Macaca fascicularis: one gene and its partners. The protein of the gene in region 5 interacts with the protein of the main gene of each other region in a pairwise test. Links are inferred from orthologs where the notes say so. Each region holds a gene or a part of one and is shown on either strand. Other genes may lie near its edges.

What was found.
Region 1: the proteins of GMCL1 (region 5) and KAT5 interact in binary tests that used the Homo sapiens proteins (3 or more experiments, as listed by UniProt). The two-hybrid records come from large-scale screens. The link is inferred for Macaca fascicularis from reciprocal best matches to the Homo sapiens genes GMCL1 and KAT5.
Region 2: the proteins of GMCL1 (region 5) and APOL6 interact in binary tests that used the Homo sapiens proteins (3 or more experiments, as listed by UniProt). The two-hybrid records come from large-scale screens. The link is inferred for Macaca fascicularis from reciprocal best matches to the Homo sapiens genes GMCL1 and APOL6.
Region 3: the proteins of GMCL1 (region 5) and SHQ1 interact in binary tests that used the Homo sapiens proteins (3 or more experiments, as listed by UniProt). The two-hybrid records come from large-scale screens. The link is inferred for Macaca fascicularis from reciprocal best matches to the Homo sapiens genes GMCL1 and SHQ1.
Region 4: the proteins of GMCL1 (region 5) and HYKK interact in a two-hybrid assay, tested with the Homo sapiens proteins (2 studies listed by BioGRID). The two-hybrid records come from large-scale screens. The link is inferred for Macaca fascicularis from reciprocal best matches to the Homo sapiens genes GMCL1 and HYKK.
Region 6: the proteins of GMCL1 (region 5) and FOXR1 interact in binary tests that used the Homo sapiens proteins (3 or more experiments, as listed by UniProt). The two-hybrid records come from large-scale screens. The link is inferred for Macaca fascicularis from reciprocal best matches to the Homo sapiens genes GMCL1 and FOXR1.
Region 7: the proteins of GMCL1 (region 5) and GLRX3 interact in a two-hybrid assay, tested with the Homo sapiens proteins (2 studies listed by BioGRID and IntAct). The two-hybrid records come from large-scale screens. The link is inferred for Macaca fascicularis from reciprocal best matches to the Homo sapiens genes GMCL1 and GLRX3.

The regions. Positions count from the first base shown.
Region 1 is NC_088388.1:8,657,189-8,661,388, forward strand, and holds the start of KAT5 (histone acetyltransferase KAT5), read right to left. Parts: upstream 2,801-4,200; 5' UTR 2,785-2,800; coding exon 2,607-2,784; intron 2,277-2,606; coding exon 2,208-2,276; intron 2,121-2,207; coding exon 1,984-2,120; intron 1,722-1,983; coding exon 1,539-1,721; intron 1,450-1,538; coding exon 1,375-1,449; intron 1,269-1,374; coding exon 1,194-1,268; intron 548-1,193; coding exon 299-547; intron 222-298; coding exon 132-221; intron 45-131; exon of another isoform or gene 1-44. UniProt on the Homo sapiens protein: Catalytic subunit of the NuA4 histone acetyltransferase complex, a multiprotein complex involved in transcriptional activation of select genes principally by acetylation of nucleosomal histones H2A and H4.
Region 2 is NC_088384.1:16,023,175-16,027,282, forward strand, and holds the start of APOL6 (apolipoprotein L6), read right to left. Parts: upstream 2,801-4,108; 5' UTR 2,722-2,800; coding exon 2,492-2,721; intron 1-2,491. UniProt on the Homo sapiens protein: May affect the movement of lipids in the cytoplasm or allow the binding of lipids to organelles.
Region 3 is NC_088376.1:135,847,341-135,850,840, forward strand, and holds part of SHQ1 (protein SHQ1 homolog), read right to left. Parts: intron 1,965-3,500; coding exon 1,810-1,964; intron 1-1,809. UniProt on the Homo sapiens protein: Required for the quantitative accumulation of H/ACA ribonucleoproteins (RNPs), including telomerase, probably through the stabilization of DKC1, from the time of its synthesis until its association with NOP10, NHP2, and NAF1 at the nascent H/ACA RNA.
Region 4 is NC_088381.1:55,894,907-55,897,972, reverse strand, and holds part of HYKK (hydroxylysine kinase), read right to left. Parts: intron 855-3,066; coding exon 394-854; 3' UTR 1-393.
Region 5 is NC_088387.1:52,099,680-52,103,179, forward strand, and holds part of GMCL1 (germ cell-less protein-like 1), read right to left. Parts: intron 2,651-3,500; exon of another isoform or gene 2,620-2,650; coding exon of another isoform or gene 2,587-2,619; coding exon 2,474-2,586; intron 1,593-2,473; coding exon 1,527-1,592; intron 1-1,526. UniProt on the Homo sapiens protein: Possible function in spermatogenesis. Enhances the degradation of MDM2 and increases the amount of p53 probably by modulating the nucleocytoplasmic transport.
Region 6 is NC_088388.1:117,848,819-117,852,865, reverse strand, and holds the start of FOXR1 (forkhead box protein R1), read right to left. Parts: upstream 2,801-4,047; 5' UTR 2,786-2,800; coding exon 2,704-2,785; intron 1,295-2,703; exon of another isoform or gene 1,172-1,294; coding exon of another isoform or gene 1,111-1,171; intron 783-1,110; coding exon 708-782; intron 605-707; coding exon 357-604; intron 120-356; coding exon 1-119. UniProt on the Homo sapiens protein: Transcription factor which acts as both an activator and a repressor.
Region 7 is NC_088383.1:139,143,082-139,146,303, forward strand, and holds part of GLRX3 (glutaredoxin-3), read left to right. Parts: intron 1-1,664; coding exon 1,665-1,704; intron 1,705-1,791; coding exon 1,792-1,884; intron 1,885-3,222. UniProt on the Homo sapiens protein: Together with BOLA2, acts as a cytosolic iron-sulfur (Fe-S) cluster assembly factor that facilitates [2Fe-2S] cluster insertion into a subset of cytosolic proteins.

The DNA of each region.
Region 1 (4,200 bases), on a different chromosome or scaffold from region 5:
CACCTGCAAGACAGCAGGAACTCAATAAAAATGGGGTGAACTGATCTGCTGGCTTGACTGGTCAGTGTTTACCTGAGCAAGAAGATGTCATTTGACTCACCCCAGCGCCCCACTGCCTCTCAGGCACTAACCTTGTTCTTACGTCCATCAATCTCAAAGAAGGAGATGGTGCCCTTGCGGTAAATCTCATTGCCTGGAGGATGTCGTAGGTCGCACTTGGTCTGGAGAAGAGAGGACAGTCAGGAACAAGGGCAACGTGGAGAGTGCTGGGAAGGCAGCTTCCCTGGACCCCTCATACCAAGTGACGCTGAAGACACTTGAGGCTACGGCCGTACTTGAGGCAGAACTCGCACAGGTAGAGAACAGGCAATGTGGTGAGCTCCTGTGGGTACGGGGAGAAGTACCACGGCTTGAGGCGGTGCCGGCCCAGCTCAATGCACTCGATGTTCTTCATCCGGGTGACGATGTCGTCGTGGCTTCGGTCAGACACCAGGCTGCCAGTCATGCGTGGTGCTGATGGTATTCCATCTGAGCTGTCCTGGGAGTCCTGCCCAGGGCCAGTGGAAAATACCAGGTTAGAAGAGACAGCTCAGCAGGACACCACAGCTCACAGCCCTTTGACAGGTTTCCTGCAAGCCTAACGGCAACCCTATGGGGGAGGTACCATGATCCCCAATTTCTGGATAAAAAACCTGAAACCCTAAGGGATTGATGATGTGGAAAAGATCACTGAATGACCCTTGTTTTTGAGATGGAGTCTCACTCCGTTGCCCAGGCTGGAGTACAGTGGCATGATCTTGGCTCACTGCAACCTCTACCTCCGGGGTTCAAGCAATTCTCCTGCCTCAGCTTTCTGAGTAGCTGGGATTATAGGTGCCTGCCACTACGCCTGGCTAATTGTTGTATTTTTATTAGAGACAAGGTTTCACCATGTTCGTCAGGCTGGTCTCGAACTCCTGACCTCAGGTGATCTGCCCGCCTTGGTTGGCCTCCCAAAGTGCTGGGATTACAGGTATGAGCCATGGCACCCAGCCCCAATGACTCATTTGAACCATGTTCTGCCTGGCTCCTAATCCCACCAACACTAGCCCCGCCTACCACCCCTTCTTTATTTTTAAACTCATCACTAACTCTCCATCCTGCTTGCATCCCTTCCTTTTCACCCAGCTCCTTCTGTTGCTCCCCAGACCCACCTCATCAGTGCCCAAACAATTCGATTTTCGCTTCCGTCCTGGCTGGGCTGCCACTGCCCTACGGGCTGCTCCATTCTGCAGATATAGTAGTAAAAGAAGGGATGGCTGTGAGATGAGCCTGAAAAAGGCCACCAGAGAGTAGAAGAGAGAAAGGGAACAAGAAATGGTTTGGGAAACTCACCTGGGGAAAAACCGAGGCCGGGGCTGTCTCGCTGGGCACTGGAGTTGCTGGTGAAACCACCTCCACCTTCCGTTTCTGCAGAGAGAAACCAACAAAGGTGGGTCAGAAGGTAGAGAAGGTGGGACCTGAGAAGAAAGCAAGGTCCCTGGAATTGCTGAGGGTACCGTTGAGCGGTGGTTGGGCTGCAGGCAGGAGCTGGAGGAGAGCGGCTGGTCAGGCTCGCCACCGGGAATGGCCTCCCGCTCCTTGGGCAGGTTGAAGCGGAGTGTGATCTGGACCGGGATTGGCAAGGTCTTCCCGCTTGCCTGGGCCGAGGCCGGCTGTAGAGATAGGTCCAGGGTCTTCCTCTGGGGCGGGGATGGCAGTGGAATGGGGAAGGGGAACAGGGGTCCCTCAGCTCAAAATTATCAAACCCCACCCTCGCCTTCTGAAGGACACAGGACTAGCTACTGGACTCTGGGAGCTACATGTGCAATTCGGCCCCCATCCTTTGCAAGATGAAGTCAGGGTGAGAGGGAGCCGCCTACTGCCCATCCAGGAGCCCCTAATGCCAACAGATAAGAGAAACACGAGGCAGGAGAGAAGAGGTGAAGTGGGGGACCTACTCACCACCTCTCTCTCTGGAGAGCCGGGACGGGACCCAGGAAGTCCGTTCTTGGTGGGGGTCTTGGCCTCTTTCTTCGGGAACTGGATCTTCTTTAGGTCCAGCCGCTCGTGCGTCACCCATTCATCCAGACGTTTGTTGACTGCAGCAGTGGGGATGGCTCAGGACAGAATGCCAAAGACTGTTCCCCAACCCTACCCTGATGCCCCACCTCAGGCCCAGAACTCACAGTCAATGTAATGGACGTAGAAAAGCTTCCGGCCACTGATGTCCTTCACGCTCAGGATCTCGGCCAGGGCTATGGGAATAGCATAGGCAGGGGCCTTAGACGGGCCGGGCCAGGCTGAGACTCCACCCTTCCACGACCTGAACTCCACCCCAAGGCCGGATCCCTAAGCTCCAGCACTTAGAAGGTCTCTCCTAAGCCTCCTTCAGTCACTACTGGCACCGCTTTCCAGGCCCCGCCCTGTACCTCTCGGAGCAGCTAAGAGCCACGCCCCTTCATGGGAGTATCTGCGCCCCGCCCGCCCCATAATTCCAGAGGCCCCTCCCCATCCCGGGGGTTCAGTTGACTCCCTCCCGCCCCTCGCCCTCAGGTTCCTTAGCCCCGCCCCCCAACGTCACTCACGCCACTCATCTTCGTTGTCCTGGTTCCGCCGCAGCACGGGTAGGCGGCAGCCCTCGATTATCTCCCCCTGGGGAGACAGCGCGGCGCCAGGGTCGGCTACTGGGGGGCCTCGGGCTCTACCCACCTCCCCTGGCTCCCTCCGCCCCGCCCCGGGCACCGGACTCACCACCTCCGCCATCTTCCCTCCCTCCACTGCCACTTCCGGCCCCTGTGGGAGACGTCACTTCCGGGACCGAGCCCGCTGTAGGCCCGGGCCTCACGAAGCCCCTGTAGAGGGGGACCTTTGAGAGTCACCGCGACCCAGTTGCAAGGGGCAAGACTGCCCCTGTGACTCCTGGGAAAACGAAGTGTTACAAGCCTCAGGCCGAGTCCTAGGTGGAAACCCCACAACGTGCACAGCGATTGGAGAACTACTGAGTCTGTCACGTGACGCCCACCGGGTGCGACGCTGTTCACGTGGATGCGGAGCGGGTCACGTGGCAATACCGTTTGGGCTTTGACGGAGGGCAGTCCTCGGGCGTCTCCTTGTGGCGGCGGGAGGTGTTGTCGGGAGTGAACTGCGCGCGAGAGGCTGGAGAAAGGAACTGGGCTTAGAGGGGCTCGAACGCTCCCCCAGGTCTGTGGACTTCATTCCGTAGGCAGGAGGACTCAGGGAAGATTTCTAGCTTTATTTCGTGTATTAGGCTTCTTTTATTTTTGAGACGGAGTCTCGCTCTGTCGCCAGGCTGGAGTGCAGTGGCGCCATCTCGGCTCCCTGCAACCTCCGCCTCCCGGGTTCAAGCGATATTCCTGTCTCAGCCTCCAGAGTACCCAGCTAATATTTGTATTTTCAATAGAGGCGGAGTTTCACCATGTTGGCCAGGATGGTCTGGATCTCTTGACCTCGTGATCCGCCCGCCTCGGCCTCCCAAAGTGCTGGGATTACAGGCGTGAGCCAGGGCGCCCAGCCATATTAGGCTTTTTTTTTGAAACAAGGTCTGTGTCGCCCAGGCTGGAGTGCAGCGGGGGAGGCATAATCTCCGCTCACTGCAGCCTCCGCCTCCCTGGATCAAGTGATCCACCTCAGGCTCCTGAGTAGCTGGGACTACAGGCGCGCACTACCAAGGCTGGCTAATTTTTAAAAATTTTTGCGTAAACAGGATTTGGAGACTGGGCATGGTGGCTCACACCTGAAATCCCAGCTACCTCCAGCCTAATCATGAGAAAAAGATCAGACAAATACCAATTGAGAAACATTCTACAAAATACCCCATGAATACTCCTCAGAACTGTGAAGATGTCACTGGTGGAGGGTGTCCAGATTCTTGGCATCTTAAAGAATTGGACAAAACGGCTGGGCCCGGTGGCTCACGCCTGTAATCCCAGCACTTTGAGAGGCCGAGGCGGGCGGATCACGAAGTCAGGAGATTGAGATCATCCTGGCCAACACGGTGAAACCCCGTCTCTACAAAAAAAAAAAAAAAAAAGATACAAAAAATTAGCCGGGCGTTTTGGCGGGCATCTGTGGTCCCAGCTACTCGGGAGGCTGAGGCAGGAGAATGGCCTGAACCTGGGAGGCGGAGTGTGCAGTGAGCCGAGATCATGTCACTACACT
Region 2 (4,108 bases), on a different chromosome or scaffold from region 5:
ATTCTTATAGCCATTCATTTTCTAATTGTTTGAATACAAGTTTATGGTTGAAAATTTAGAAATAGATTATAAAATCCACCTGTACACTCACCACATGGAAATAAAAACTAGTGACATTTTATTTTACAAACCAAAAATTTAAATGAATGCTGTTCATGTAGTTTGTGTGAATTCTTGTCACTTAACATTGTATCATTGGGGCTGGGCACGGTGGCTCAAGCCTGTAATCCCAGCACTTTGGGAGGCCGAAACGGGTGGATCACAAGGTCAGGAGATCAAGACCATCCTGGCTAACACAGTGAAACCCCGTCTGTACTAAAAAATACAAAAAACTAGCTGGGCGAGGTGGCGGGCGCCTGTAGTCCCAGCTACTCGGAAGGTTGAGGCAGGAGAATGGCGTGAACCCGGGAGGCGGAGCTTGCAGTGAGCTGAGATCCGGCCACCGCACTCCAGCCTGGGCGACAGAGCGAGACTCCGTCTCAAAAAAAAAAAAAAAAAAACATTGTATGGTAGTAGTTCCCCAGGTGATATATAGAAACCGTGTCGCATTTCATTATACGAATGTATCACTACACATTCAGTAACTTTCTCGCTGTTGAAACTTTGGGTTGTTTTCAGTTATTTTAAAAGTTTGTATTTATAATTTTTGGTTAAAATCCTTATATAGATGTGTGTCTACATGTTTGTTTATTTCTTTGGGGCAGTCTATGAAAAAGAATTAATGCGTCAAAGATAAAAACGTTCTCCCCACTCTGGGATGTGAAGCTCGGTTTGGTTTGAGGGGCTTGGCACCTTTAAGGACTTACTTTCGCCAGACATACATCTACCTGCTTTACGGTGACCCTGTGAAATCGATGCTAAGATTATGCCCATTTTACAGATGTGCAAACTGAGACATAGGGAGGCCAGTGTTACACAGTAAGCAGGAGAGCCTGTACGATTCCAGCCACGCTGAGTCTGGAGTGGTCGGTCCCAAGCAGGGTACATTTGCTCCTCAGGGACGTTGCTAATATCTGGAGACATTTTTGATGGTCTCAGCTGGAGAGGGTATGTAGTGGGCAGATGCCGGGGATGCTGCCAAGCACCCTACAATGCACAGGACGGCCCCCACAACCAGGGATCACCTGGTTAAACATGACAAGGGTGCCGGGGGTGAGAGACCCTGGTCTGGAACCCCATTTTTCACCAGAGTCCCCCAGTACCTCTCCCATTTTTTTTTTACATTAGTCCTATGGGATGCAGGGCAAAGGTAACAGCAGGAAACTCATCTGAGCAGATCCCATTCCCTCCCCTCTGACCTGCTCTCGGTGGTTGTGAGATGAGAGTTGTATTGGGAGAGGATTTGAGACATTATTTTCATTTGAAAGCTTATAGGATATTTATGACAGTCTTTCCTTACCTGCCTTCCCCCACAAAACCAGCTTCTTCAGATACACAATCTAAGTAAGAAAAGTCTGCTTACTTTGAAAACACAGCTTCAAGATAATCTCCCAATTTTTTTTTTTTTTTTTTTTTGAGACAGGGTCTCACTCTGCTGCCCAGGCTGGAGTGCAGTGGTGTGATCACTGCTCACTGCATTCTTGATTTTCTGGGTTCAAGTGATCCTTCCACCTCAGCAACCCCCTATCCACCCAGTAGCTGGGACTACAGGTGTGCACCATCACGCCCAGCTAATTTTTGATTTTTTTAGAGACAGGATCTCACTATGTTGCCCACGCTGGTCTCAAACTCTTGGGCTCAAACAAGACACTTGCCTTAGCCTCCCAAAGTGCTGGGATTACAGGTATGAGCCACTGCGCCTGGCCTAGTCACCCTAATATTTATCACAAACTCCCTCACCCTCTTCCTTTTTTTTTTTTTTTTTTTTTTTTGAGACGGAGTCTTGCTCTGTCGCCCAGACTGGAGTGCAGTGGCGCGATCTCCACTCACTGCAAGCTCCGCCTCCCCGGGTTCCCGCCATTCTCCTGCCTCAGCCTCCTGAGTAGCTGGGACTACAGGCGCCCGCCACCACGCCTGGCTAATTTTTTGTATTTTTAGTAGAGACAGGATTTCACCGTGTTAGCCAGGACGGTCTCGATCTCCTGACCTCGTGATCCGCCCGTCTCGGCCTCCTAAGGTGCTGGGATTACAGGCGTGAGCCACCGCGCCCAGCTGAAATCACCTGCTTTCTAACTGCCAGATCACCTCTGCTTAAGCCCTTGGATCCCCAGCAGTGGAGGGGCAAATGCAGCTTGGCTAGTCACATCACATGCTTTATCACGTTTTGATTTAACCCTCAAATGGCTGTAAGGGACAGAAACCTACCGGGTTTAACATAGGAGAAATTGATCCTCAGACTCTCCCCATGCTCTGGCTGGCATTTGAACCCCGCTGCTTGGACAGCAGCTCTTTCTCCTGAGTCAGGTGCCTAAAGCTAACCCCTTGGGGGCTTTGTCCTTCAGGGACTAGAGCAGCAGCCCCCTTCTCCCCCAACTTCTGCCTGCCATCTCACCTTCTCTCCACGGAGCTCTCCTTTGTGGCCTCGGGTCCCGAGGGAGAGGAAGATCCTGAACCTCTGTCCTTGACTCTCCGAGGCCCCCGGTCCTGCAGGAGGCTGTGAGCGTCTGGGCTGGAGAAAGACTGTAGGGTGGCTTTTGAACAGGAATTGATTGCAAAACTGGTTTCTGTTAAGTGCTGCAGGAATAAAAAAAGCGAAACTCTCGGGCTCTTCCAGGAAATCATGGGCTCCAGCTGTGCACTTTCATTTTCCTTTTTGCCTGTTTCTCTAACTGCATGCACAACAAGATGAAAGAGCAGAATCAAAGTCAGAAGGCCTGAGTCTCTCGTCTCTGTCCTGGCTGTGTTATAGGATGGACCTATATGGGGTATGAAAATAGCTCCTGTGGCTTAGAGCTATGGTGAGGAGCCCATGAGCAAGCGATGGGGCACCTGATGAATAGTGGATTCACAGTAGCGATCATCACTGATTGTTCTGAAACTGCTTCCCTCCACAGCATCTTGATGTGGATAACAGCCCTATGAGGTGCACGGCCGGCATTTAAGGGCTAATAACTCTGAAATGCAGAATCCTCTGAAAATGGAAACTTTTTTATTTTATTTTTTATTTTATTTTTGAGATGAAGTCTTGCTCTGTTGCCCAGGCTGGAGTGCAATGGCACGATCTCGGCTCACTGCAACCTCCGCCTCCTGGGTTCAAGCTATTCCCCTGTCTCAGCCTCCCCAGTAGCTGAGATTACCTGCGCCTGCCACCACGCCTGGCTAATTTTTGTATTTTTAGTAGAGATGGGGTTTTATGTTGGCCAGGCTGGTCTCAAACTCCTGACCTCAAGTGATCCACCCACCTCAGCCTCCCAAAGTGCTGGGATTATAGGTGTGAGCCACTGCACCCGGCCTGAAAACAAAAACTTAAAAAAAATAAATAATTTATTCATTTAGTGGCAAAACCTGACCTGATCTGGCATGAATTCACTTATGGTTTTTATGTCTCTTGCTTAATTTGAATATTCACTGTCACTGCAAAAATATTAATGTGTTTGACTGAGGAGGGCTGCTGGGGGTGGGTGGGTTACATAGTACGTGATACCTGAACCCCATTACTTTTCTAAAAATTAATTGGGAACTCTGACATGCATATGGCCTCAAGGATTGGAGATACAGGATGTGATACTCTGTCTCCCACTTTAAGGAAGAGGAAACTCAGGCTTCTAGAAGTTAGTGATTACACAGCTAAGAACCAGTCCTAGGCGCTGTGTCTGCAAGAATGAGCCCACAGTGTGGTTACCGGCTGAGATCTGTGTCTCTCTAGCATTTCTGTCAAGTTGTGATCAGAAGTCACGTGGTTTGCAGAAATCCCCAGTCACCACCCCTAGCTGAGGCCACACTGGGTGCTGTTGCTTTGCAGAAGGCGTGGCCCACCTAGCCAGTCCTGCCTTTGCGACGATGGAGGCCACCTCCTCTCCCTTGGCCCTACGAGCAAGAATGAGGGGTTAAGCGCTGCTGAGTTGGGTCCTGTAGGGGCCTTTCCAACCCTGGCATCCCAGATTCCACAAGCCAGCCCTGCTGTGGCCTCCCACACTTGGAGAACACTCTAAACACAGCCTGACCTTGA
Region 3 (3,500 bases), on a different chromosome or scaffold from region 5:
TATTTGTTTTGGAGAAAAGAGTACCATCACATTAAAGGTAAAGTCATTTAAACAAACCAAAGAAATCCATTTTTTCAACCAGTGTCTGAGGATCACTGACATATGAGAACTAAGAAGTGTTCACAACTATAGAAAAATAATTATTTTGCTGATGCAGAGACTATCAGTGGGAAGTTTCTGTTTACTTTACTTGGGATTTTTGAAAATAAAACTTTTCTACTGATAAAAGTACCAGAACACAAGAGCAAATAACCAGGGGTTTTGAAACTAAAAGTTAAAGCAAAGTAATCCCTGCTCAATTTCTGTCCTTTTTCAACTAAGTTACATGCCTCCCAAACAATCCATAAATAATCTATCAAAGGAATCAAAGATAATGTTGAAGTATTACCTGTGGCACTTAAGAAGCTGCTAGAAAATTTGATCTTTCAGAGAATGCTGGTGAGAATAAGCACATTCTAGAGGAGGTCTCAAGTTGTAAGACTTGATGATTTTAAATACACAAATACAAGAATAAAAAATGGTAAATTTTTTCAAGTATACCTAAACACTCATCTTTTCAAGATTTAATATGAAGCATTTTTTGTCAAAGAAAACATTTTCTCCATTTACAGTATCTTTAAAAGATGAGTGAAAACCAAAAGTATTTTCAGATATATTAAGTAGCCTTAGCACACTCAATTAATAGTCATCTTGGAGTCAGACACAAACGTCAAGAGTCACCCTAGAAATTTTCAGAATCATGACAACAAAAAAATTGGTACACAGAAAATTCTAACTCTAATACCATCCTAGTGCCATAATGTTGAGTGAAAAAAGCAGGTTAAATAGTATATACATTAGGACCCAAGGTAAATACACACAATATAGACACATGTGCACACTGAAAGAAGACTGGAAATAGATACATCGCTACGTAACAACGGTTATTTCTCATGACTAAAATTACAGGAAATCTTAATTATTTCCTTCGTTTGTATATTTTCCTTTACAATATAAATGATTTGTGTAATTCAAAAAAGGAAAGTTATGCTCAGATCAAAAATAACCTTTAGAGCGAGGACAATTATAAACAGCTGCAGCACCACACTAACTAGAAAGGCTGTTTTTTTGGTTTCCAGCCTTTTTAAATACACAATCAATGGTATAGGTGAAAAGGAAGTTTACAACATCAAATATGGTTTAAGAAGAAATACAATAAAGTCTATATTATTTTTTAAAAGATTAAGAAATAATTTACAAAAAGATATACTTTTATAACATGATCCATTTAAATAGCAAAAAAAGATATAATTCAGGTTTTAAAAAATCTGACTTACATATAATTTTTCAGAAATCCACATACTCTATGAATTGAGGGACACTTGCAGGTAAATACTAAGATTTCTTTATTTTGTAAAATGCCATATTTTGCATCTGCTGACTTCTGGCTGAGAGAAAGAATATAAATGGGTATGGTAGTTTACCCCCTGGCCAATGTGAAGTGTCATGTGACAGAGCACTTCTCTGGCCTAAAAGAGATGAGGGCTCAGAGTAGCCTTCCTCCCTACTCTCAGCTTTACTCCCTTAAACTTCCCTACTCTGCTATTTTGCAGAGACTAATCCCAAGAGAAAACTGAAAAAGACCGACTAAGCAATGTATGATTGCATGTGGGTACCCACCACCACCACCCCACACACGCAACCCTGCCGGGGGCATCCCCTGAATAACTAATCACCACCAGTTCTACTCTAGACAAGAAAGACTGATGCTTTAATGCAGTTTACTCAGCACAGTCATCTATGGCAACACGCACACATACAAGCACTTACATTCTTCTCTCCTTCCGTGACACGGGTTTCATAGCAATATGCCAAAAGGATATCAATCAAACTGTAGTACACTTGACGACAGGCTTTCTTGTCCAGCAGATAAGATTTATTGACAAATTTTCGTAGCTGATATTTCTCTTCTTCAGAAAAAGACACTAGAAGAAAACGCATTTAAAAATTAGATGTTTCATTCATTTTTGTAAATCCCCCAATGTGGAAGATTTGTCAAAATTAGAACTTTGATTATAGAAACTGAAATAAAAGTTATTTCTACTTAACTCTGGATATATAAATAACTTAAGTAGACGTCACAGTTTTAGTAAGAGCTGTGAGTCTGCTCAAATCCTAATAGGGCTGAATAAAGATTTTTTGAAATAATACCTAATCCTTAATTCCCAACCCTCCCTTTTTTGCTACACTGTTCTGTACTTAAGGTGTCTGAATGCCAGTTACTGACTTTAAAATTAAGATAACACATTTTGACAACAGAAAGCGCTAAAGTACACTGAAAATACTCATTATCCATTTGAAAGTTCTATACCAAGAAATAGGAATATTCCCAGATATTAATCAATTAAAATTGTTACATTTAAACTAAACTAAATTTCAATTCAAATTAATCCATTAAAATCTCATATTGTCTACCATATAAATCAAGTTTTACATATGACCACATCACATACATTAGACTTGTGGGACGAGACTGTTTCTTTACAACACGGTTCCTTTTTCCTTTTCTTCTTTTGCTTGGCACCCTCTCTCCACCTGAATATTCGTCAACAGCCTCTCACCCACTAAAAATCTAGTATATACCATTCCATAGTTTTCTCTACAGACATGTAATCATATACAGACACACAAGCATACATACTAGGGAGTTTGTACTTCCTACGCCCTCCCTTGACCCAAATAACTAGGTCATTTTTCTCCATCTAGCCCTTCTCACTCAACAATACCTCTGGCAAATCCCTAAAAGTCAACTGGTGTGTAACTAATTTTTGTAAAGGAGTATAATATTCCAAAACGTACCATGCTCTATCCAACCACTCCCCCTACTGATGGGCACTGACGTTGCTTCTAGCTTTCTGCCACTGCTAATAATGCTGCAATAAATATCCTTATCCTATGTCCTTGGATATTAGAGGCTTTATTTCCATAAAGTAGACTCTCAAGACTGGATTGACTGGGTTAAAAAAGTATCTGTTTTAGAAAGATACTTTACTTAAAGGCTACAATAACTCTCCTTTCTCACAGTCATGAATAGAAGTTCCTCTTCCTACACATACCTCCCACCTTCCCCTGGCAAGAAATGTAATAGCTTTTTTACAATCATTTCCAGGTTAATAAATTGAGTAGAGCAGGCAGAATTCCAAGATGACCTCCAATGAGTCATATCACTATGTGGGGATGGAGCTTGTGACTTGCATCTATCCAACAGAATATAGCCAGGCAATGGGACAGTCATTTCCATGATTACATTCCATTATTAGCAGACCAAAGCCAGGGACTCACCTGCTAGTTTTGAAGAAATGTCACACGGTGAAGTGAGAGAGCCTGTGAGAAGGCTATATGGCAGGGACCTGTAGGGGCCTCTAAGATCGAAGAGTGGCCCCCAGCTGACAGCCAGCAACAAAGTAGGGGCCTCAGTTCTGTATCTGCGAGGAACTAAATTCTGCCAACAATCATGTGAG
Region 4 (3,066 bases), on a different chromosome or scaffold from region 5:
TGCTAGTATGTTATCTAGGTCAGTATGTTATGTCCAGATATTTAAAATATGTCAATATATCTGTATGTATATATTATTTTAAAAATTAAAAACAGTCATTAATCTCAGGACTGGAATAGATCTTGTGAGATTATCTGATTCAAAATGGTATCATATGTGTTTATAGACATGGCAAGTGAGACTCACAGAAAAATATGCTTGCTCGTGGTACTTTTGTGAATTTTAAAAAATTGTCATGAGATTGCTTGAAGACCTTAGGGATTTCATGTGCTCTGTCATATTCAGAATTGATCCATTCCATCAATTGATTTTTAACTATACAGGAAAATCCTTCCTAAAATTTGATTGGGCCCTATTTTAATTACCCACGTTAAAATCACATGGAGATCTCAGTCACATGGAGATCCCAGATTCATAGGATTTGGCAGTTTCAAACCAGATTTCTTCTACAGCTTTCTGACCCATGTCAAACATTTGCTGTAAGTGTTTCCACCCAGTTTTTGCAGTAACCATGAAATAATCTTTGTTCTCTGGGTATAGCTGGCAAGAGTATGCAGCCATGACAAGTGACTGGCAAAAACGACTGCATACAAGTAAAAACAAAGCACCCTTCTCTACAGCTGTCAGTGGGGTGATGCTTTCAAACCCTGCAAGGACATGGCCTCCTACTTGTATAGGATTTTTGCTTTCAATCATCATGTACATGATGGTAATTGCCAGTTCAAACACATAGTAGCCATAGCTCATGTCATCAAAGTCTAAAATCCCAGACACTTGATATTCAGCATTTCCAGAGGCTGACTTGCTGGACTCTATTAAAATATTATGGTCATTAAGATCTCCATGATTGATACCTGAAAATAGAAAAATCACATAAAAATAGTTATTGAATATTCCAATTTATTCCCCTTCCATTTCTCTTTCATAGGCAAAGCCATTCAGATAATTTGATGAGCAGTCAGAGATAAAGGGCCAAGCCCTATTTTTCTTGAAGTAAAATAATTTCATCTGAAAATAATAAAAGCAGTTAATTTGGGGTGGTTGTTTTGCTTTTCATCAATACAAGGCCAGAAGATGGAGACTGCAGTCACTACAAATACCTGATTTTGGCTATTAAAAGAGTAAAGTGAAAAGAACTACTCAAACCCAGAAATGTTTAAAAAGAATAGAAACATATTCATATTGTTAGAAGAAACAAAGAGTCCTAGAATGAACCAGATTTACCTTTATTTTCATCTAGGATTTTATTTTATTTTTATTCTTTGAGATAGAGTCTCACTGTGTTGCCCAGCTGGAGTACCCTGGCACAATCTTGGCTCACTGCAACCTCCATCTCCTGGGTTCAAGCAGTTCTCCTGCCTCAGCCTCCTGAGTAGCTGGATTACAGGCGTGTGCCACCACACCCAGCTAATTTTTATATTTTTAGTAGAGACAGGGTTTCACCATGTTGGCCAGGCTGCTCTCGAACTCCTGACCTCAAATGATCTACCCGCCTCAGCCTTCCAAAGTGCTGGGATTACAGGCCTGAGCAACCATGACTGGCCTCACCTAGGATTTTAAACAAAATTTTCTGATAATGTGGTAATTCTAAATTTCCCATTTTTTGATTACTGAAATAGGTGGTGATATATATATATATATATATTTTTTTTTTTTTTTTTTTTTTTTTTTGAGACGGAGTCTCTCTGTCTCCCAGGCTGGAGTGCAGTGGCGCGATCTCGGCTCACTGCAAGCTCCGGGTTCACGCCATTCTCCTGCCTCAGCCTCCCAAGTAGCTGGGACTACAGGCGCCTGCCACCATGCCCAGCTAATTTTTTGTATTTTTAGTAGAGACGGGGTTTCACTGTGTTAGCCAGGATGGTCTCGATCTCCTGACCTCGTGATCTGCCCGCCTCGGCCTCCCAAAGTGCTGGGATTATAGGCGTGAGCCACCACGCCTGGCCTGGTGGTGATATTTTAAGTCAGTACTACTCAAAGTGGGGTCTGTGGCCAGTACTGGTCTACAAAATGTTACTAGTCTGCAAGAGATAAGAACAGAGTTGAGAGTGTTTAGAAAATTTTACAGTCATATGACATCCAAGAGTGTGATCAGTGGCCTTGTCTCATTGAACGGAGCGTATAGGAGTTAAAGTTTTGTCAAACTCCCGTGGTTAGTTGCATGTGACACGAACTGTAAGCGAATCTTGCATAGTAGGACCATATGCCAGACTGTAATGGGTTGGGGGAAAAAACCCACACTTGTCTTTTACCATAGATAGTCTAAGAAGCACGGATTTAAGCCACTGACTAAAGATTAGTAAGAGATGTCAATGAAGCCCTGAAGCACATACATGATATAAAGTATATAATTTTAACTTTTAATTATAATGCTGACTTTTTCTATATGATTTAGGATTGTGTAAATCATGCTTAAGCAATGTAACATAGTGAGTGGGCACACAGAAACAATATTATTGTAAATCATGGATTTTAAAGTATGTATTTCTGAAATTGGGATATATTATATAATTGACTCAAAAATATATAAGATAAAATTTGACTGGGCGTGGTGGCTCATGCCTGTAATCCCTTTGGCCACTTTGGGAGGCCAACGAGGTGGATTGCTTGAGTCTAGGAGTTCCAGACCAGCCTGTACAACATGGTGAAACCCTGTTTCTATTAAAAATACAAAATTTAGCCAGCGTGATGGTGGGCGTCTGTAGTCCCAGCTATTCGGGAGGCTGAGGCAAGAGAATCACTTGAACCCGGGAGGCAGAGATTGCAGTGAGCCCTGCACTGCAGTCTGGGCAACAGAGCAAGACTCTATCTCAAAAAAAATTTATATACATATATATATATGGCAAAATTTGACAGAAATACAAGCAAAGAATAGGCAATCTTCAATCATAGTAGATTAAAATATACTTTAACATGTACTTTACTCAATAATTGTTAAAAAAAAAAAAAAAAGCAGACCAAAATGTAAGTGAAAGTTACAGAAAATTTAAAAATTATTAATAAACTTGACATAATGGGCATATATAACTTCATACCCAACACTGCAGAATACACTTTCTTTTAAAGCAC
Region 5 (3,500 bases):
CCTGACAGCAAGAGACCATGACAAAATCATCTCTGCATCCTTCACAGCCACAAACAGAGTATCTTTACATAATGAACAGTTAGGAAGTACTTGCTGCAGGAATAAATGGATAATATGCGTACTTAATCCAAAAAGCCAAACTAAGCTGGGTGCAGTGGTATGTGCCTATAATCCCTGCTACTTGGAGGCTGAGGTGGGAGGACTGCTTGAGCCCAGGAGTTTGAGTCTAGCCTGGGCAACATAGCAAGGCCCCCATCTCTTTAATAAAGAAAGACTGCTATATAGCTTGGGTGGTGGGCAGTCCTCATTGTCACCGCCATATATCTTGTAGGTTTTTAGAACCCTGGAATCCATTTCTCATGGGTGACTGCGGTCCTATTATTCCAGCTTGGACTACATGGTCCACAGGTGACAGAGAAATCTTGGCCCTCTGGCTCCATCTCCAGGACCTCTGGCTCTGTGCTGTGCTGTGTGCGACCGGGTCCCGCTTGAAGATGAAGGCAGTGCAGTTGACTGTGGGAGCCTCTGCAGCCCCAGCCTGAAGCCTGCATGGGACCCTGTGTGGTGCTAACAGTTTTTTTTAAAGGAAGACTGCTATTTTCTCAAAGAGAGGGGACGTCACTATCTTGCCCAGGATGATCTCGAACTCCTAGATTCAAGCAATCCTCCCAACTTGGCCTCCCAAAGTGCTGGGATTACAGGTCTAGGTTTTCCTAAATCTGCTTTTCTGGTAGAGAAACCCTGAGGACTGATTGGCTTTTGATTGTCTAAAACCATGGCCTGCGAATTCGTAACATTCAGGGACATGGCCATAGACTTCTCTCATCAGGAGTGGGAATACCTTGACCTGGTTCAGAAGACCTTGTACCAGGAGGTGACAGTGAAGAACTATGGTAACTTGGTCTCAATGGGGTCTCACTCACACTGAGGCTGGAGTGCAGTGTCGCAATCACAGCTCACTGCAACCTTGACCTCCATGGCTCAAGCAATCCTCCTGCCTCAGCCTCCAGAGTAGCTGGGATTACAGATTTGAATTCAAGGAGTGAAATAATCAGAGACGGAAAAATGTACATTTATAGGAGCCACACATTTGTTACGCCACATCAGAGAATTCATTCTAGTGAGAAAACCGATCAACATGAAAAGTTTTTGAAGGTTAAAAAAAAAAAAAAAGGCCAAAACAGTTTCTTCAAACTTATTTCTCAATAATAAAGATGATTTTTAAAATATACCTTTTAAATTCTCTAAAAGTCTGGCAAAACCTGAAACTTTTCTATAGTCTTATAACAGTAATGCATTTTTCTATTAAAATTGGTTAAAACGGTAGACATAATATCCATTATATTATTCACAACAAAGAAATAAGTTTGTGTAGCATTTCTTCAGCTTATGGATGTAGTCAAGCCCTTTCATTAAATTGTTTGCTTTTTCATATTTTTGTGTTCTACAAAAATGTTACGTACTTTAACAAATGATAAACAATATTTTAGGATGACTAATTATAAAGTTACTTGAAATTCAAATACCTGAGTTCTTTAAAAAGTTCAACATTCTGGTGAGTCATCAAATTGTTTAGAAGCCATTCAAGGCACCTGAAATTAAAACATATAATTATTATATTATATACCATGTATTTACAATTTATTAAGTAGGACTTATAGTTAAAATCAGAATATTAATCTTGCCAGAACATGCTCAAAACTTTTAACTTAACAATAGGAAATTTAGTATTATTTTTGTCAGTGGATATTATTAAGAGAATATTTCCTTTATATTAATGAGAGCATTTCTAGTTTTAAAACTTCATTTTGAGTTTGTGTTAAATAGTTTATCAAGGGGTCTGCATAGTACTATAACCTTTAAAATCTCAAAACAGGTACTGCAACTTTCAAGAGTTAGAAGGACTGTCAGTCATTGCAATGATATAATGTCTATCAGGCCTACTTCTTAAACAATTTTAATAGAAAATATACTATAAAGTGCAGTGGCATGATCACAGCTCACTGCAGTCTTGAACCTCCTGGGCTCAAAGAATCCTCTGACCTCAGCCTCCAGAATGGCTGGGACCACAGGTGCATGCCACCATGCCTGGCTAATTTTTTAAATTTTTTGTAGAGATGGGGTCTCCCTATGTTGCTCAGGCTGGTCATGATCTCCTGGGCTTAAGTGATCCTTCTGCCTTGGCCTCCCAAATCACTGGGATTACAGGTGTTAGCTACTACACCTGACCAAGAGTGACCAAGGTTTTTATAAGCATATATATAACCCATATGGTCACTGACAAAGGCAATACTTTTGAGGAATTTACTAATTAGTCCAAAAGTTAAAATGGGCTTTTTATTTAACAAAATTCCATTCCCCTATCCTAATTTTCCTTAATTCTTTCCTTCTTATAGCTATACATTCTCTTAAGAAACTAAAGCAACCAAATTCCTAAAGTGGGATAGGAAGAAAAATGAGAAAGGTAACTCACTTTTTCTTTACAGAATCTAATCCATAGGTCCCTGCTGATGTGTAATAGCCACATACAGTTTTCACATTAATTGTTTCCTTCATTGTCTCACCACACTGCTGTATTAAACCGTCCTGTAAATATAAATAAGCACTGGAAAGGCCCATTTCACGTGGGAAAAATTAGCTCTGATATGTGCTTTTACATATTAAAAAGGAAAAAAAAAAGAAGAAAGAAAAGAAAGAAAACTCATTAAGTGCAGCAAACCTAAGTTTTGTGTTTTTTTTTAAACAAGTCCAATAAAAATACTGAAAAAAATTCAGCAAGTATTCAACTAAATACTTGGAATTTGAAAATGGAAGGTGGGGGGAGCAGTCAGGTAGAGATGAATACTGCTATTCTTTTTCTTTTCTATTCTTCCCTCTCTGAGACCTTTGCAAATTTCTTTAGCAGCATTTTGTCTGTTTTGCCATTTCTTTTTAAATTAAGAAGTCTACATAGTCAGTTAACCATGTCATGGGCCTAAACAAATAGTATGCATTAGCAGAAAGTAATTATTAAGTTTAAAATAACTACAATATCTAAGAGACACACCTAAAACAAGTATATTGTTATTTTAAATTATGAACATTAAAGTTTTAACCTAAAATGTTTATATAGGTTTTAAGCGAACTAACTTTAATATATGGAAAGAATACTATTTTCGTTCAAATTTCTGAAATATATTCATCATGCAGGTATATTAAGTTAAAGAGTTAGTAAATCATAAAAGTAACGCCGAAAGTGAATTTAGAACAAAATCAAAAGGACCAGAGTTAGAAAATAAAGTATACTTATTGGAAATAAGTATTGAAAGGATCAAAACATTTTGAAAATCAAATGATCTCAACCAAGGATATTTAGCAAGCTATTAACTAATATTTCAAATGAATCAGTACAAAAATACCACACAAAAGTTAAACAATTTTTTAAGATTAAAATAAAACATTGACTCCATTAGGATTTTCAACTTACCTGGAAATCATTCTAGACTCCTCCCCTTTCCTCT
Region 6 (4,047 bases), on a different chromosome or scaffold from region 5:
CCCGCCTGGCTGCTGGCTTGCCGAAGCCTCCGACTCTGGAGGGGGGCCCTTTTGTGAGGGGATGGGAGAGCCACAGAGGAGCTGTCTTCCTGGTCCTCAGCCTCCTCCTCTTCTGTGAGCTAGAGGAGCACAGAGTAGGAACTGGTCCTGACTCCTCAGCCTCTACTCCAGGGTGCAGTGGCAGGAAGGGGGGGTGGTCTAAGGCCACCATCTGGGCTTCTCCCCAACCCAAGCATGAAGGTAATTTCTGAACCCATTCGCCTTTTGCTATGGCTAAGAGAGCAGAATTGTGATGGCTCTTCCCCATGCCCCTCACCTACTGCCCAAGTCCGGCTCCCACCCCCAGAGATCCATACCTCCCAGGTGCTGGGGGAAAAGGCAAAGCGCTTCCGAGGGGGAGACCACTTGCTGGAGGACCGGGACAGTGATTCCACCCCTGTGGCTTCTGAGCAGCTGGCATCTTCCTCCTTCTGTGGTGGCTGAGACAAGGGAAGTGTGCTTGTCAGATCCTCCCTCTTCCTAGGTCCTGGGACCTCCAGTTTTCCAGGGGGATACACGATGTTGGGGTTTACCCACATCCAGAGGTTGGGTTCATAATCTGGACCTGTGCAGAACAAAAGGAGATTGTGTGCCGCAGCCCACTGGCTTTGGGTGCCCTTGGTCTCCAGCCCAGGTCACAGAAACAGGTCAGAGAACTCAATACTTACCATCCTTATCAGGGTTGGGTTTTTTCTCTAGGGGTAATTTTGGTGGCTTAACAATTCGGAGTTTATACCTGGCAACTGGCAAAAAGAAAGAGAGAGTCAAAACATCCTAGGATATCCCTTTGTGACCCTAGGATCCTAGGCATTAAGGCTTCTCTGGGAGAAGGTATTGTGGGCCTTGCCTGGGGAGTTAACATCACATTGTACTTCTACTGGTTTTCCCTTTACCTCTCTGACCTTCTCATTCCCCTCTGCATTCTTTTCTTCTCACTCTACATATACTGTCCCTGAATTGATCTCCTGCATGCCCGTGGCTTCAGTTAACATCTATAAAAAAAATGTAGAGCTCTCAAATCTTCACCTCTAGCCTAGCATTCTGTGCTAGCCCTTAAGGAGAACTACTTACTGGATATCTTTACTTGGGTAGCCCACAGGCACTTCAGACGGCTTCTAAAACTGAATTCCATCTTGTTGCTCTTCCTCCTGTATTCTTGTTTTTTTCTGAGACAGGGTCTTGCTGTGTTGCATAGGCTGGAGTGCAGTGGTGTGCTCAAGAGATTCTCCCACCTCAGCCTCCCAAGTAGCTGGAACTACAGGTGCATGCCACTACGCCCCATTAATTTTTGCAATTTTTTTTTTTTTCCAGATGGAGTCTTGCTCTGTCACCCAGGCTGGAGTGTAGTGGCGTGATCTTGGCTCACTGCAACCTCCGCCTCCCGGATTCAAGTGATTCTCCTGCCTCAGCCTCCCGAGTAGCTGAGATTACAGGTGCCTGCCACCACGCCCGGGTAATTTTTGTATTTTTAGTAGAGCTTTCACCATATTGGCCACGCTGGTGTCTAACTCCTGACCTCATGATCCACCAGCCTCAGCCTCTCAAAGTGCTGGGATTATAGGTATGAGCCACCGCGCCCGGCCTAATTTTTGTATTTTTTGTATAGATGAGGGTCTCACTATGTTGTTGCCTGGGCTGGTCTTGAACCCCTGGGCTCAAGCAATCCTCCTGTTCAGGCTCCCAAAATGGGATTACAGGCGTGAACCACCATGCCTAGCCTTCCTGTATTCTTTGTCTCAGCAAGTGGCACCACCATTAACTGATTGTTCAGGACAAAAACTATTTTTGCCCCCTCACTGTCACTATGAGTGTCATTATATTACAGATGAATCTAGGCTTTTGTTTGGGAAATGACATACTTATCGGAGAGCTTAATTAGAGAGGATGCCTATTAGGTTGCTAATATTCAACATAGTACTCAAAAAAGGAAAAAGTAGCAAAAGATATAAACATAGGGTTTTTTTTTTTGAGACGCGGTCTTGCTTGGTTGCCCATGCTGGAGTGCAGTGGTGTGACATTGGCTCACTGCAATCTCCACCTCCCAGCTCAAGCAATCCTCCCATCTCAGCTCTGAAATAAATAACTTTTTTTTTTTTTTTTTTTTGAGGCGGAGTCTCGCTCTGTAGCCCGGGCTGGAGTGCAGTGGCCGGATCTCAGCTCACTGCAAGCTCCGCCTCCCAGGTTTACGCCATTCTCCTGCCTCAGCCTCCCGAGTAGCTGGGACTACAGGCGCCCGCCACCTCGCCCGGCTAGTTTTTTGTATTTTTTAGTAGAGACGGGGTTTCACGGTGTTCGCCAGGATGGTCTCGATCTCCTGACCTCGTGATCCACCCGTCTCGGCCTTCCAAAGTGCTGGGATTACAGGCTTGAGCCACCGCGCCCGGCCTGAAATAAATAACTTAAAAGACTTGAACAAAGACTTATAATACATACTATTAAGATGCCAGTTACCCTAAAATGAATCTATAAGTTTTATGCACATATTATAGTACAAAAATTAAAGTTTGGCCAGGTGCGGTGGCTGATACCTGTAATCCCAGCACTTTGGGAGGCCAAGGCAGGTGGATTACTTGAGGTCAGGAGTTCGAGATCAGCCTGGCCAACATGGCGAAACCCTATCTCTACTAAAAGTACAAAAAATTAGCCGGGTGTGGTGGCGCTTACCTGTAGTTCCAGCTACTTGGGAGGCTGAGGCAGGAGAATCACTTGAACCTGGGAAGCAGAGTTTGTAGTGAGCTGAGATCATGCCACTGTACTCCAGCCTAGGTGACAGAGCAAGACTCTCTTAAAAAACGTTCAAACATAGTAAAAATCACCATAAGCAAAAAAAAAAAAAAAAAAAAAAAAAAAAAAAAAGCAAACTTCAACCCAAATTTCTTTCTTTTTTTTTTTTTTTTTTTGAGACAGAGTCTTGCTCTGTCACCCAGGCTGGAGTGCAGTGGCGCCATCTCAGCTCACTGAAAGCTCTACCTCCCGGGTTCACACCATTCTCCTGCCTCAGCCTCCCGAGTAGCTGGGACTACAGGCACCTGCCACCACGCCCAGCTAATTTTTTTTGTATTTTTGTAGAGACGAGGTTTCACCATGTTAGCCAGTATGGTCTCGATCTCCTGACCTTGTGATCCGCCCGCCTTGGCCTCCCATAGTGCTGGGATTACAGGCATGAGCCACCGCGCCCGGCCTCAACCCAAATTTCTCAGTTCTCTAATATATACAGAGCTCCTACAAATCAGTATGTAAAAGGTCAACACAAACTTACAAATGGGCAAATGATATGAATCAGCATTCACAAGGAGGGGATAACTGAATGGCTAACAAGATGATCAGTATTATTAATAAGAAAAACACTGTAAGATAATGAGATAATCAAATTGACTAGAGTTATAAAGATAATACCAAGTGTTGAGAAACATGCAAAGAAATAGAATCTCTTATTATACTGCAGTTCTGAGTATCAACTGGAGCAGCCCTTGTTAAGAGCAATGAGGCAGGACTACAATTTACCTTACTGTTTGCTCCTGGATGTATATTTTCAAGTTAATACAGGAACTTATATACTAATCAATCTCCATTGTTACTATCATCTACTGACCTCCTGTTTTAGCTCCTGACTTACTGTCACTCTCCAACACTACTCCTGCCTTAAATCTTGGTTGCTGGCCAGGTGTGGTGGCTCATGCCTATAATCCCAGCACTTTAAGAGACTTAGGCAGGCGGATTGCTTGGGCCCAGGAGTTTGAAATCAGCCTGGGCAACATGGTGAAACCCCATCTCTACAAAAAATACAAAGATAATAGTCTAGCCGAGTGTGGTGGTGTGAGCCTGTAGTCCCAGCTACTCAGCAGGCTAAAGTGGGAGGATGGCTCGAGAGGGAAAGGCGAGGTTGCAGTGAGCCAAGCTCACGATACTGCACTCCAGCTTGGGCAACAAAGCCAGACCTTGTTTTGAAAACAAAAACATGATCTTTGCTGTTTATTGAACTCTTCTCCAGCGAGTCTGACTTCTACT
Region 7 (3,222 bases), on a different chromosome or scaffold from region 5:
CGACACACTGGGCCTGACCCAGCTCATGTCTGTGGTAGAACATCTTGGTAACTTGGCTTTCTGTCCCATATCTGTCTGATCTCCATTGTATTGAAAGCACCCTGTTGTCGCAGAGAGCAGGAGGCTACTTTGGGAGAGAATGACTCCCAGCTCTGGACTTGCTAAGCATGATTGGCTCTAGGATGAGTGAGGCCATCCAGGACCTCAGCTTCTTTTAACGTGAACAGACCATGCTCTTGTTTGGAGTCAAAGTATGTGGAGAAAACTCCTTTTTACTTTTTCTCATTTCTTATCTTTTCCTTTAGTAGCCAAAATACACATGCATGAGTGGCTGAGAACCAAGTGTATATTGAGGTTTGAAAGGTACCCTTTATGAATAACTCTTAGGAAGTGTATTGACTGTTAGGACGCCACATACATACACTTGGGCCCAGTGCTTCCTGGATCCTTTATGAATAGTTTTATAACTCATTGTTTTTATCACAGTATTAAGAGATCTGCCACCTTTAGTTAGTTCAGCTTGAACAAAGACTTACATTGGGTTTTTAAAAAAACATTAGGTTTACATTGGGGTCCTTTTTTGCTCTTCTTTCAAACATTCCTTTTTTGGTAATTGCTTCTGATTTATCCTGTCATTTAGTTTTTTGTTTTTTTTTTTTACTGTTCCCTGCACCATAGACAGTTTCCTTGGGAACTTGTTTACTAAATAAACAAGATTTCCCTGTGATGGTTTCAGTTTTATGGAAAGTCTAGTTTTTTTTTACATGTAGCATTTTCTTTGACCACCTTTGGGAATTGCACCTGTACCCTCAGGCACCCTGCAAGGATTTAGGCATACATGCTTGCTAATACCTGACCACCTAACGGTGAAATCACTCTGAGTAGATACAGTTGGACATTCATGCAGTGATTTTTCTTTGTACGAGTAATGTTCATTGTACGGCATAAAGCCACAAAGCTTTCATTGGCCTTTTGTACATTAAAAACAGCGCCCTCTCTGAAATAAGTTTAAGTGTGGAAAGCATGTCTCCTGCTAAGGTGGAGGGAACTGGCAGCGTGGTTGTCATCTGGCTGCTGAGCCCTCCAGCCTCCGTCCACAAGCACTACTACTTCCTGCTCCACGGGCAGCTTCCAGGAGGTTAAGAAGCAGCAGCTGGGGGTGGATTAGATATTAGAAGTGGATGAGAGTGTTCAGTTAATGAAGGCTTGTGCAGATGGGGATGTGGGTCTGACCCAGGGGTTGGCAAGTTGCAGGTGGCTGCCCATTTTTGTAAATAAATTTATATTGGCACATAGCCACATCCCTTCATTTATATGTTGTCTGTGGCTGCTTTTGTGCTGCCCAGCAGAACTGAGCAGTTAAAACAGAGACTGGCCTCTAAAGCCTGAAGTGTTTACTGTCTCACTCTTTAAGAAGACGTTTCCCCATCCCTGGTCTAACCCAATATTGTCTGGAGAAAAATCTAGATAAAGTCGTATCTTGGAATGACTAATTCTGTGTAGTACCAGACAGATTAAGAAGTAAAATCATTTCCATTGGTCTGTAGTACATTTTGTTAGCAACAAAATAGTTTTCTTGATTATTTTAAAAACATCAAATGCATAGAGGTTTTACAATTTGATTTAACTGTATTTCCAGTTAAAATGTCTTCTCTTTCTTCCAGTGTTGAATATGAAACATTCGATATATTGGAGGATGAAGAAGTAAGTTCTGTGTCTGATGTTTCACCTTTGTCTTAGCTTTAATCATAAGGGCCTGACAGGATGGTTTCCGGACTCTTGTTTCTTTAGGTTCGGCAAGGATTAAAAGCCTACTCAAATTGGCCAACGTACCCTCAGCTGTATGTGAAAGGGGAGCTGGTGGGAGGATTGGATATCGTGAAGGTAAGTCAGTTCTTCTGCTCTTCTAAAGAACGGAGAAGACTTTGGTGTGTTTAAAAATGATTTCATATTGAATGGAAACTTGAGAGTTGTTTTTGACTCTTGTTTCCAGCCTGACTCTCAGGCATTTCTAGACCAGTATCACCGTTTCTGTGTGCATAAGTACCCTGCCATTCTCACTGTCCCCACCTGGCAGCCGGTTCTTACTTCCACACCTGAACTAGCCATTTCATCCCCTTTCTGTGGGGTGATCTTACCTGCCACTCAGGGTCCTTGTGAGATCCTGCTTCAGCTCCCAGCCAACAAATTATTTTTTCTTGCGTTACTCACCTGCCCTTGGGTGCATGGACTGACAGCAGTGTGAGGCCTATGGCCCAATGCTGCCCATCCTTGCCACAGAGGCTGAAGATCACTGCCCCTGGTCCCCCGAGAGAAAAAATGTAGGTCGCTTTTTGGTTTTCAGATGTTTGGAAATCTGTTATCTGTTAGATTGTAAGTGTTTTAGAGAAGACACCATTTCTTATGTATCTTGAGTCCTTCCTGATGCTTTGTGTATTTTAGGAGTTCAGTAAATGGTTGTTGGATGAATAAGTGACTTTACTTCTTGCTTGAGTTTTAAATGGACATGACTTTGCTCATATTTAATGTCTAGAATTTAGGGCAGGCCCACCAACTAGCACCTGTGTGCTCCATAGCTCTTTGATTAGCCCAAAACAGTAAACAGAAGCTGTAGCTTTAATATCTACCCACAGGCCCCACTGCACCCCAGGCCCACTGTGGGCATGGTGGTATCGAGGAGGGTGGTAGCCGGGTGGGTATAGAGAGGAGCTAGACAGGAATGTTGGGCAGGAATGCCAGGTTCTGCTCGGGGACAAGAACAAAACTGCCCCAAAAGGTGGGCTGCCGACTGCCCTCAGACCTTCCTCTTGCCTCAGTCCATTAGAGAATTTTCTGTGAGGTCAGATCTTCCGACTTTTTATGTGGAAAACAAATAGCAAGTAGTACTACTTCTAGTTATGTTGTAAAATAAATTTTTTTTTTTTTTTTGAGACGGAATTTCACTCTTGTTGCCCCGCTGGAGTGCAATGGTGCAATCTTGGCTCACTGCAGCCTTTGCCTCCCAGGTTCATGTGGTTCTCCTGCCTCAGCCTCCTGAGCAGCTGGGATTACAGGCGCACACCACCACGCCCCACTAATTTTTGTATTGTTAGTAGAGATGGGGTTTCACCATGTTGACCACGCTGGTCTTGAATTGCTGACCTCAGGTGATCCGCCCGCCTTGGCCTCCCAAAGTGCTGGGATTACAGGCGTGAGCCACCGCGCCCGGCCAAAATAAAAGTT